Drosophila melanogaster: one gene and its partners. The protein of the gene in region 2 interacts with the protein of the main gene of each other region in a pairwise test. Each region holds a gene or a part of one and is shown on either strand. Other genes may lie near its edges.

Region 1 (4,886 bases), on a different chromosome or scaffold from region 2:
GTATAAGTAGAAGTTAAGATAGTAGTAGTAGTAGTAGTAGTAGCAGAATTAGTAGTAATAGTACTAGAAGTAAAGATAGTAGTATAAGTAGAAGTTAAGATAGTCGTAGAAGTAGAAGTTGTAGTTAGAATAACTATTCTAATGTCTGTGTTAGTACTTTTAGTAGCAGAAGTAGTAGTAGTAGGGTAGTTTTTTTTACCACATCCCTGATATAACCCATATACCCATTGATATCATTGATACACCATTGAAGAGTCCGAAAACACCAAAATAACCATTGGAGGGCAGAAAGCGGACACAGTCAGATGGATATGGTATGTGAAAGACGAATACTCGTAAATTGGGAGTGGAGTGACAACAGGGAGAAAGAGGAAGAAGGCCAAGAGCAGTAACAGTAACAGTCGAAGGGGGGGGGGGGGGGACAACAACACTAATGGGCATAAACAAATCGCTTGATAAAATATTTGAAATTCATTTCGCGCCGCCGCTTGGCAGCCGTTGGCATTTCGATGACAGCATTTAATGCTTATTATGTAAACTCTTTTTTCTCTAACCGGGCCATTGGGTATTATTCGTTATTGGGTATAGGGAATGGTGTGGACTGTTGTGGAGTGGAGAGTGGGTCCAAAACAAAGGTCAGCCACAATATTATTGGGCACTGAATTGATTTTGAGTTCCGGCCAAACCCAAAATGTGGTTTTTTTTTTTTTTTTGAAACACCCTCCATCATCTCCCTCCACTTGTGTGTGCGCAACAAATTAAGCCCATTAAGCATCTTCGGGCAGCAGCAGCAACAACAACAACAACAACATCACCTGTTGCAATAGATTGAACACTCCAATCACAAGATGATCCACAAAAACCTCGGGCCATTTGTCTATAAAGCGGCTCAAATCTGTGGGAAGATGCGCTGACTGATGGGCTTTAACTTTCGCACAAATTTCCACCGAAAATTGCACAAATTTAGCTTAATAGGTTATAATTGTACCTATGATAAACGCTTTAAGACAAAATTAGCAAATTATACACCTTTCAACTTGGGCGAAATGAAATTACTTCTATGGCTATAATTAAAAGTTATTAAATAATCGAATCGAACATTAAAAGGAATGAAAAAGTACTATTAATTGATATTAAATTAAATTAATTGTAATTATTTAAATTATTTTTAATCTATTTTTAGAAATATCTTATAAAGAAACATCATTAATATACTCCTATTTTACATATCTATTTTCAACAAATCGCTGCCATGGCTGTATAAATTGATTTAAATTAATTTCGAGCTGTGTATTTTAAGGGGAATCACCTAAGCTAAGCCCTTTTGAACTCTTAATCAATATAGAAAAATCATAACAATCATTTTATTTTAACATTAATATATACCTTTTATGTCTGTAAAAATTGTCATTTATTAAAATCTACAGCAAGAATGTCTTGCACAACCCTAAATCCATTTACCTCGATTATGGCCAACAATTAGTGAACGATTTCACTGCCATTTAACGCTCAAACCGCAAAAGTGTGTCCATAATTGATAATTTTTTATTTCTGGTCATGAAGCAAATTAAAGCCGCACCATTTAGTTTTTCTTGGCTTTTGTGTGTAATTTTAGGGCCCAAGAACTGCGTTTTGTTTGCAGCGTTTACGTACGTGTTTCTCGCCCGCTGCCTGGCAGTTGTTAACTTGGCCAAAAGTGCCATGTTAACTGGTTTAACAGACTTTAACTGGCTTTTGCGGCTGCGCAGCAACTGGTTGCTTGGTGTTGCTAGTTGCTGCCGCTGCTGCTGCTGCTGTTGCTGCTTGGCCTCTGTTATGTCGCATGTTGCTGGTTTCTGGTTGCTGTTGGCCACGCTTTTTGGCCACCAAACGGATTCAGTGCAGCGGCGACTCTCGAACGGTATTGTTGGCTTTAGCGGTAACTCGCCATTGGCCGTGCATACGAAAAAAGATACACTCTGTTTATATAGTCAATCGTTTCTACTGTTTTTTTTTTTTTTTTGTTTGTTTTTTTGTTTGTTGAATTCGTTCGTGGCTGGAACTTTTCTTGCATTTTTTTTGCTTTTCTGTTTAGCTTGGTAGTTGTTTTTTTTTTTCTTGTTCAATTTGCGTGCCTCGAGTGAATGTGGATAATTTGGCAGATAGTTTTTCTGCGATTTGATATGTGTGCGGATTTAGTTATTCAGTTATATTGGGCCAAAAAGAGCACCGCCGACGCCGCCGCGCCTGGCCGAAAGTGAAAAACTGAATGCGCAGACGTGTGTAACAGTTTTTACTTTCGGCCTGGTTTTCTGCCTTTTTTTTCGGCATCTCTAGTAGTTGCTGTTTGGGTTGCTTTTTTTATTTGGCTGCTGCTGCTGGGAGGCAGTGGAGCATTCAGCCAAGATCTGTGCAGATTGCATAAAATACAGACAGACCAGCAGCAGCAGCAGCAGCAACAACAGCAGCAACTGCTAACTGCAACCGCATTTAGCCCAGTTTTCTGAGCAAATATTTTCGAAAAGCTAACGACAAAAAAATCTCACACTAAATCTTAGCGTTATTTTTTCCTCCTCGTCGTTGTCGTCGCGTTTAACTCAAATTATAACAACAATAAAAACAACAACGAGAGCAGCAGCAGCAGCAACAGCAACATCAGCAGCAGCAACAACAACAACAGTAACAACATCTAGCCCAAAGGAGCCTTGTATTGCCACCTCGACCAGCAAAAAGCCGCCAAAATGCTTCCGGTAAGTGGTTGCAGCGATATATAAGAGAGCAAAAAGAAAAAAAAGAAAAAAAATAAAAAAAATTGAACAAAAATCCACAAAACAACTCTCGACATTAACTGCAAAACTGAAAAATCATTTTTATTTCGCATTTTTGTTTCTTTTTGCCGCTTTTGTGGCCTGCATTTTGTACGCAATTAGCGCAAATCTGGCGAAAAGTAGTAAATATTTAGACCAGTTCGGCTATATCGACTGGATTTCCTGGCCAGCTTAAAAAGGCTGTGATTTATTTCGTTGAAAACAACCTTGGCAGGATCCGCGCTCGAAAGCTGTTATCCTTGAGTGAAAAAAGGCGAAAGATCAGGAAAGATTGCCAAACTGGTTACTCTTCGTTCTCGTTGATTTGAATAATTCATGGAGGCCGCGTTTTCGATTTCGTTTGCCTGGTTTAACTTGATATTAAAATGTCTCTCTTAGATGATTGCATAATTAATTTGTGTGACACATCGTGCTGGGCGCGAAGAATTCATCAGAATATGAGTTTTCGACGTGTTAAGTAATAGTTCTATCAAAAGTAAAAGTTTAGGGAATTCGTTTTTATAGTTTATGTGCTACTAAACAGACTAAGTGCTGGAATTTCAAAAATGTTTGAAATTTGTAATCAACTAGATCAAGATAAGCTATCTAGATCTTAAAGAATTTTTACGACTCATACAATTATGCATTTTGTATTTGCATATGAATTCGGAATCAAATATTTTATGGTTAATTTGCATTAAAATTCATAAATACTAAGTTGGACATATCTACGAACTATCTTTGATTAATTAATTGATCGAAAGTTCAGGTCGATTGGTTATCATTCAGGTGGGGAATTCGTCAAAAAGTGAGAGGAATGAGATATGCACGCCCACATAAATTGATCTAAAAATCATTTTTACGATCTCGCGCCTTATGTAAGCCACCACTTTCAACCGATTAACACTTTTGAAGACGCCAAAGACGTCAACACGATTGCAATTCCCATGCTAATCGAAGCGATCGAGTGCAAAACTCAAAACTGAAAACTTTCAAACACGAATCGCGAAATCGCTGCGAGATACATTGCACGCATATTAAAAGATGATGGTGTCTACTTATTGCTATTTAGAGATACATCCCAGACTTTTACTATTTTACAATTTCACTAGCTTCGCTAGCTTGAGGGGGCCGCAAATCGAATCGAAACGAGGCTCTACATCCGCTTGGACCTTCGATGAGGCATATTTCTGGCCCAAACCGAACCTATGATATTTCTGTTGCTCATGCAAATTTGCTGCTGCGCATGCGCATAAAACCCGTTTAGGAATTGTGTTATTTTTGATGGCTGTTTTTTTTTTTTTTTTTTTTTTGTTATTTTTGTCAATTTTCGGCTTGAACTTATTTTATTTTCGGCCACGTTTTTTTCTGTGGGCCCGCGGGGGCGAAACAAGTTTGGCGACAAGTGCTGCCAAGACTAGCCAAAATGATGTGTCTCATCTCCGCCAATCCGTTTGACGTCAGGCCGCAAAAATGCGTGAGAAGAGGAAATCGTCTTCGGCTTTTGTTTTCTTCAACAAAATAAAGGAAAAATATCAGCCGGAAATCGGTGGCCCAGCCCCAGAAAATAAGCCAGCGAAAATTGCTATTTACAAATTCATGCAACAGCAAAACTGCAACTGCAACATTGCAAGTTGCAACGCCAACGCGTTGCAGCCGCACCCAAAAGACAATGACAGTGAACTGAAAAGCAAGACGAGTCCAATCCAATCCATTCCGATCCTCCTCCATCAGCCATATGCATGCATTAAATCAGTCGGTCGGTCTATTCAAGTGTCTGATTTTCAATTCAATACCCTTTCCAAGTGGCTGCTTTACTTCTTCAGATGATTATTACCTTAAGAGCACTGTGAAAACAAAATTATATATACATTATATGATATTAGGAGCAACTAAAAGCTCATGATTCATTCATATTTCAAATATCCCAAAAAAAAAAAAAAATAAGCTAAATCATTAAGTGATGACGAGCTGCAAGCCATCTAGGTCCGCGTTCATATTGAAAAATTACATCCCAATGATGCTGATCTCGGATGAATTCATACGTATCATCTGACCCCGGAGGTGGTACATCCGCCTCGAAGTCATGGAAAGGTTTCC
Region 2 (2,722 bases):
TTTTTGGGGGTTTTGCAATGAGTATCACGTTTGCTATGCCTCACCCTCGATGGAATTTGAAAGCAATCGGCTATAAAACAAACACCAAGCGCTAATTTCCATTTGAACTTGAGCGGCAGTCGCTAAACTGCATGTTGAATATGGTTCGAATGAATGCGGATCGAAGGTTTTGGCGATACGGGTTTTTTTTTTTTTGGCCACTTAACTGGCCTTTATTTACTAAGCCAACTGACTTAGTAAGCTCTAGGTCGTGGGATGTACCGATATCAGGCAGTTAGTCATAAGCTTAACGGGATGAAGAAAAATATATATATTAAGATGGTAACCACAATTGCAGAAATGAAATTAATAGATTAGTTATTTCTATCATAACATTGAAGTAATTTCTCTATCTCTCCATTTTCCTTGCTTATGAATAAATTTATCCTGGACATTTAATGACCCAAATTACTACAGTAGATTGATTTGTAAAACAAAAAGATTCGCAAATATTTCTCACTGTATGCTTGCTACAGTAAGCTCTGGCTATAAAAGCTTCATTCGCAGAAAATAAAAACAACTTCTGTTACAGCCGAAAACTATGCCACTTATATATTTAAGCTCTAGTTAACCATTGTTAACAAGTTAAGTAGACTTATTTTTGCTTTCTTTGTTTCATTATGGAAATTAAGTTGTCATACGAAAAAAAAAAAACACAGGATAGTGGGACATCCCACGATGAAATTATATGCACTCTGCGCTATCCTGCTCCTTGCCATTGTGGCAGTCCAAGGATATCCTGGTATACACGGTGGCTTTGGACACGGAGGACACGGTGGACTCAGTGGCTTGGGAGGACTTGGCGGCTTAGGAGGACGCGTTGGTTTCGGAGGACCCGGTGGCTATGGAGGACCCGGTGGCTACGGAGGACTCGGTGGCTACGGCGGACCCGGTAGCTACGGCGGTGGTGGTGGAGGCGCAGTAGCCACTGCCAACGCTAATGCAAACGCAAACTCAGTTGGTTACAGTCCGGGTGCTTACTACGGATAAGGAATGATGATAACAGCAGTCCAGAAACGGCAATTGCTTTAAAAAATAAACAAATGCATAATTATTGCATAAAGACTAAGACATTTTTCTATTATTACTTTTGCCAAACGTTATCAACACAATGGCCTTACCTTCTATGTATAATATACTATAAATATAAATTTATTAATTTTTAATTATTATTTATTAAGTGAAGAATATATATATAATTTTCGGGTTCAAAAGTTGTAATCACCGGAAAAGGAATTTTGTATAAAATGTGTAAACAGAAGCAAATCTAAGGACTTACATGATAAACTAGTTTTTATAGCTGATTATCATAATGAATTTATCTGAGCTTTTTTACAGCCTGAAAATATACTTTACCAAAACATGGCTTGCCAAAGCTAACCAGTTTTCAATTATTGATAACATAGTATATAAGCATATACTATACATATAGGTAATATTAAACGTCATGCGTTTTTAATATATGTCTAATTAATGTGCTAATCGAAGCCCCCATATATATGCCGATACAATATCGATTCTGTGATTTTTTTTGTTTTTCAGATAAACAAGTCGTCCACCTGTCACGGATGCTGGTATAAAAGAGGCCAGCACGCGATCACAAAACATCGCAATCTCTAACGATGAAGTTCCTGGCTATCTGCATTTTTCTAATCTTCGCCCTGGTGGCCGTTCAGGCACATCCTGGTGGATTCGGCGGATTCGGTGGAGGCGGTGGTGGCGGTGGTCGCGGTGGAGGCGGTGGAGGCGGTGGAGTCGGTGGAGTCGGCGGTTCGAACGCAGTTGCCAACGCGAATGCCGCTGCAACCGCCGACAGCAGAGGAGGCGGCCCAGCTTCCGCCTCGGCCTCGGCCACTGCAACCGCCAACGCCAGCTCCGGAGGAGGTGGAGGTGGACATGGCAGACATGGATAGGCTCGAAACGGATTCATAACTGTACTCTCGAAAAGTGGGCACGTCCGCTGACAGACCTACTAAACTGAAACCAATACCAATACCAATAAATATTAAAATGCTAATTCTGTTTTTGGAAATCCAAGATGTTGTTTTCGTATATTAGGTTAATAACCAGTTTATGAGTCGGGCATTATTTATAGATCTAATGACGTCAAACAAGATTTCTCTAGCCTCCTAAAAACAGACTAAGTTAACAGCGGGAGCTAATATTAGAAACTATGTTTTAAAATGTATCTAACAACTTGAATTACAACTGAAAAGTATGCATTATATATATATAGTTTTTGCAAATAGTTAGTGCATCTCAATTTTAATTTAATTTATTTTTATATTTAAAATCATTAAGCTCATTTCATTCATCATTTGTTTGTACAGCTTACCCGGAAATCCAAACAATTTGTGAGTTTTTTTTTTTTGTGTGATTACTTTTTTTATGTAATTAAGTAATTGCATTTGCCACCCACAACAAGTCTTGAATTTGGCCACTTACGGAGTGACACACTCAATTTCAGCAGGTCTAATAAATCGAAGATATTTTTTCACAAATGAAGTCCGACGTCTCTTGATATATTGTCAAGCTTCTTAAAACTCGGGTTTGCAATATTTAAATTTGCAAATTATCAACATCTGGATAAGTTTCTACGTTTACGGTAGCCAAACCTTTCCGAAATAAAACTAGTTTTATACCCCTTAATCGTACAGTAATAGGGTATGCTAGGCTTATTAGA
Region 3 (4,165 bases), on a different chromosome or scaffold from region 2:
GCGCCATAGGAAAGAGGCTTAGAATCTGAAATTGTTTGATGGTTACACAAAGTGCGGAATAAATGCTTTGTGTTCTTACTAGAAAGATGCGCATCGTGAATACTTGTATCTACTTGTGGGTGGCTAAATACATTTTTTGTGCGGGCAGTTCGGCAGATGGGTTTCCTTTGCCGAAGATTACATTTGGTCGACGCTTTTATACGTTACTGTTCCAGTGGCTTTTCTGATGCAAGCAATCATTTGTAAGATGGAGAATATGCAAATCTATTGAAATTAGGGAGACGTAGGCCTATTTGATAATTCAGCCCATTTTCATTGCATATTATAGAGCAAATAAGGAAGAAGTAACATTATAAATTATAACAAAAAGCTTTGAGAGTTTGTGCGGACATGCCATATAAAATGTTCTCCTAGTGTTCTTTGTAATGATAATTTAAACACATTTTAAATATTTTATATTCTTTATTCGAATGTTACTTTAAAAATGCTCTGATACTTAATTGTAGTATTTGTCATTTTATGCATTTAGGCGAACTTCTTCCTCAACAAAAATGTGCACTTCACGACATATACTTTCAATTCATATTTCTTCAAGTAAAGTTTCCGACTATTTTGTTATCGTTTTTCCATTTTTTAACCTTTTGTTCATTAGTTGATTAACTAATGTACTGCAGAAACAACATTCGCGTATTTGAACCACCTATTTGCTAAACAACTTTTAAGTCATTATAAGTAAGCCACTAATATTCACAAAGGTGTCATATAAAAGCAGTCCGGCGGCCATATAACTGAAAAGCGAGTTTTTTTTTTTTTTTTTGGTAAGTGTCATCAGATGCTTGCTGTTTTTGATAAAATAACTGAAAAACTTGTTTTGCGTCCAACAGAGCACACAGTAAACTCTAAGGGGAAGAGCAAATCGATTTTTAACAAAAAGAAAACATTCACAGAACTACCCATTTTATAGTTCATGTTAAGAATATTTCTCTTGAGAATTGAAAAATTCGCTACATAGAATAATCACTGTATATATATATATATGTACATAATATACAATATATACATGTTTCAAGTTCATCAAAGCAAGTTATCACAGGTTCACACCTAACGAGAATACATGTTTCAACTTAATATTTTATCAATTTATTGAACACTTTTATACTGGATCCCATTAGGTTTTTAATTATGTAAGCATGTTATACACTGCACTATAAAATGTATAGTTCAAATTTAACTGTTTATAATTTTTAATTATAAGTTGATGTCGTAAAAAATGGTTTTAACCACTCAAAACATGTATAGAAAATTTAAATCGCTTGGTTATGAACCCATATCATCTGAGTCATATTTAAATTGGGTTTTGAGTCAATATAAAAAGTGAAATAAAAACATTTTTATGCAACGGCACACATTGATTTTCAAAAATTAAAATATTATTTTCTGTAAGTGCACGCATTGATTGTTTAAGCTTTGTATAAAAGAGATGTATGCAAGGGCGCAAGGCTTAGTCCGTTTTTGAGTTTTCGACAAAATGAAGATACTCAACGTAAGTATGCACAAATTAATGAGCGGAACTGCTCCTAATGGCTCCCATCGCTGTCCACACAGTTCATAATCCTGCTAGTCCTGGTGACCATCGCTCTATCAGCCCCCGCTGCCGCCACAGACAATGCTCCTACGGTATCCGTGCTGCGCTACAAAGATGATCGGGATTTGGCTAATATTCAGCGGGCAATTATTGCGCAGTACGAAAGAATTGGCGGCACCACTAAGGTTCATCAGCCACTGACGGCCAATATCGTCAACCCAGCAAGCCTTGGAATTGTCATTTAATGCTCGTCAAAAATAAATTGTTTGTATTTGTGATTGTTAGCCCCGCTGATAAGACAGAGCTGCGTGCCTTTTGGGATTAACCGACCCGCAGAAGTTTTAGTCTGCTCTTGACACTCGCCGCGTTCGCAGAGCCCTTACGATGCTTCGCAATCTGTCCGTGTGTCTGATATCATTTATCGGGCTCTGGTGCCTGAGCAATACTCACACCCAGCGCCTGCCCCCAGAAGGGCGAATGCGCCCCTTGCAAGACGACTCGATCCGCTCTCCCGTGGACCGCGACATAGTCTTTCCGGAGTTAGACGCGGGACCAGGCAAGCCCGAGGAGAAGATGTGGTTTCACATAACAGACTTTCAATTTGATCGGGTGGAGGGCCCGACCCAGCCCAAGCCCAAGCCCAGACAATACCCCCCGCCGCCGATGCCCGGCCAGCCCTTTCCGCCGCCCCCCGGGGGCTTTAAAAAGAAGGAAAACAAGCAACGCCGCCTCTGCGAGCAAAGTAAGTAATTCGAGTGTTCAGCCATTCGATGGTTCGTGAGTCATTGACTGAGTTTATCACCAAGAATATTCCGAATATGTGGAGCGCATCTTTCCCAATGATACCGCAGTGGCTGCCGATGCCAACGACGCAGACTTCGATGGTCGGGTCCTGGCCCGGCCCGGTGAGTACCCACATATGGTACGAAACTAGGTAGCTGATAAGCCTCTACTGAGGAACTAACCCAAGCCCCTCGAATCTGTTTTCGTAGGCTGCCGTGGGCTTCGAGTCGGACAGAGGGCAAGTGGACTACAAATGTGGCGGCAGCTTGATAAGCGAGAGATTCGTGCTTACCGCAGCCCACTGTACATCCATATACGAGTGAGCATGCCAGTTAGCCCCCTGACCCCCAGTCCCGTGACTGTAATTTTCCTCTTAGGGCGCCCCCCAAGTGGGTTCGCATCGGGGACCTTGACCTGGCCTCCGAGAAGCGGTCGGTGGAGGCCCAGCTGCTTCGGATTGAGCAAGTGTTCGCGCACCCAAATTACAAAAAAAAGATGTACTATGACGACATAGCCCTACTTAAGCTGGAGAAGGAAGTGGAGTGGGTACCCAACAAGACAGAAGTGCGACCGCTGTTTGCTAACACGATTCTCTAAGACTGACGGAATACGTTAGACCTGTCCGCCTGTGGGTCTTTCCAGAGCTGCCCACTACGATAGCCTTCGCAATGGGGTACGGCGCAACGAGCTTCGCCAAGCCCATGACGAACCGCCTCACAAATCTTAACCTGACCGTAGTGCCGAACGCTGAGTGCAACGCCGAGCTGCCGCCTCTTGCTGAAACTCCCAGTGGAGTTCTGGAAAGCCAGATCTGCGCCCAGGACTACATTCTCAACAGAGACACTTGCCAGGGGGACTCGGGTGGACCCCTACAACTGAATTTGCCGGGTCGGCGCCGAGGGCATAGAATACACTATCACCTAATTGGCATCACCTCATACGGCGTGTTCTGCCGCAGTAGTTACCCATCAGTTTACACCAGAGTGTCTTCTTTCTTGGACTGGATCGAACTTACTGTTTGGGCCTGACAGATGCCTACATCAGGTTTGTATGATGTTGATGAAATTTAAGCCAAAATATATATTAAAAGAAATGGTATATTCTTTCCATTTATATTTCGATTCTTCCTATGGCATCTGTGTGTATGTATATGGACCAATCTAGCCCAACAACTATTTTCACAGGAGATATTTAAATACATTGCTACAACATTACACTAGTGAATTGTAAAAATAAATTGTGCTAAACAGTGGCCATATTGAAATTTATTTTAAAGTTATATTAGATAAACATAGGTGTTAGAAAGGCAAAAACAAACATATTTTTTGGTAAATTTTGCTGAGAATTGAATCATTGGTTTTAGACTTCATTGTTGGCATCAATAACAAGTTGCTTCATGTCTTCATAGCTGGGCTGGTTCTACGAGACCAAGAAAAGGGTTAAAAATACATAGAAATTATATAAATCTATTGTGTAGCGACTTTACAATTAAGAGAATAGGCCATCAGCATTAGTAATCAGCTTACTGTACAAGCAAGCAGTTAAACGAAGACAAACTCTAGGTCTGGTTTGGATCACGTACCTGCCAATAATTATCGTCCCAGTTGGGGAACATGCGTTTGAAAACCCTTGGTTCCTTGCCCTGGGGGACGCGAATGATGCTCACCGTGTCGAAGGAGCGGGCGGTAGGCTCTAAATTAAAGTAAAGCTGTAAATCAAGAAAAGACGTATAATTAGACGTGATAGAAAGCGATGGTGGGAAACGAGAAAACCTTTGCCGTGTCCAGAAGCTTCCCA

Evidence for each region. The genes of interacting proteins can lie anywhere in the genome.
Region 1: the proteins of CG17107 (region 2) and Cht6 interact in a two-hybrid assay, tested with the Drosophila melanogaster proteins (one large-scale study listed by BioGRID).
Region 3: the proteins of CG17107 (region 2) and CG14642 interact in a two-hybrid assay, tested with the Drosophila melanogaster proteins (one large-scale study listed by BioGRID).

What each region holds. Positions count from the first base shown.
Region 1 is NC_004354.4:10,015,004-10,019,889, forward strand, and holds the start of Cht6 (chitinase 6), read left to right. Parts: upstream 1-1,841; 5' UTR 1,842-1,900; intron 1,901-2,534; exon of another isoform or gene 2,535-2,614; 5' UTR 2,615-2,720; coding exon 2,721-2,729; intron 2,730-4,886.
Region 2 is NT_033779.5:10,680,330-10,683,051, forward strand, and holds CG17107 (uncharacterized protein), read left to right. Parts: upstream 1-1,636; 5' UTR 1,637-1,661; coding exon 1,662-1,952; 3' UTR 1,953-2,199; downstream 2,200-2,722. Other genes in the region: CG17105 (uncharacterized protein), read left to right, coding at 718-1,029.
Region 3 is NT_033777.3:4,240,500-4,244,664, reverse strand, and holds CG14642 (uncharacterized protein), read left to right. Parts: upstream 1-1,947; 5' UTR 1,948-1,969; coding exon 1,970-2,327; intron 2,328-2,391; coding exon 2,392-2,507; intron 2,508-2,577; coding exon 2,578-2,687; intron 2,688-2,745; coding exon 2,746-2,910; exon of another isoform or gene 2,911-2,966; coding exon 2,967-3,396; 3' UTR 3,397-3,412; exon of another isoform or gene 3,413-3,465; intron 3,466-3,532; 3' UTR 3,533-3,620; downstream 3,621-4,165. Other genes in the region: CG34305 (uncharacterized protein), read left to right, coding at 1,529-1,543, 1,606-1,830; Gel (gelsolin), read right to left, coding at 3,728-3,787, 3,951-4,076, 4,141-4,165.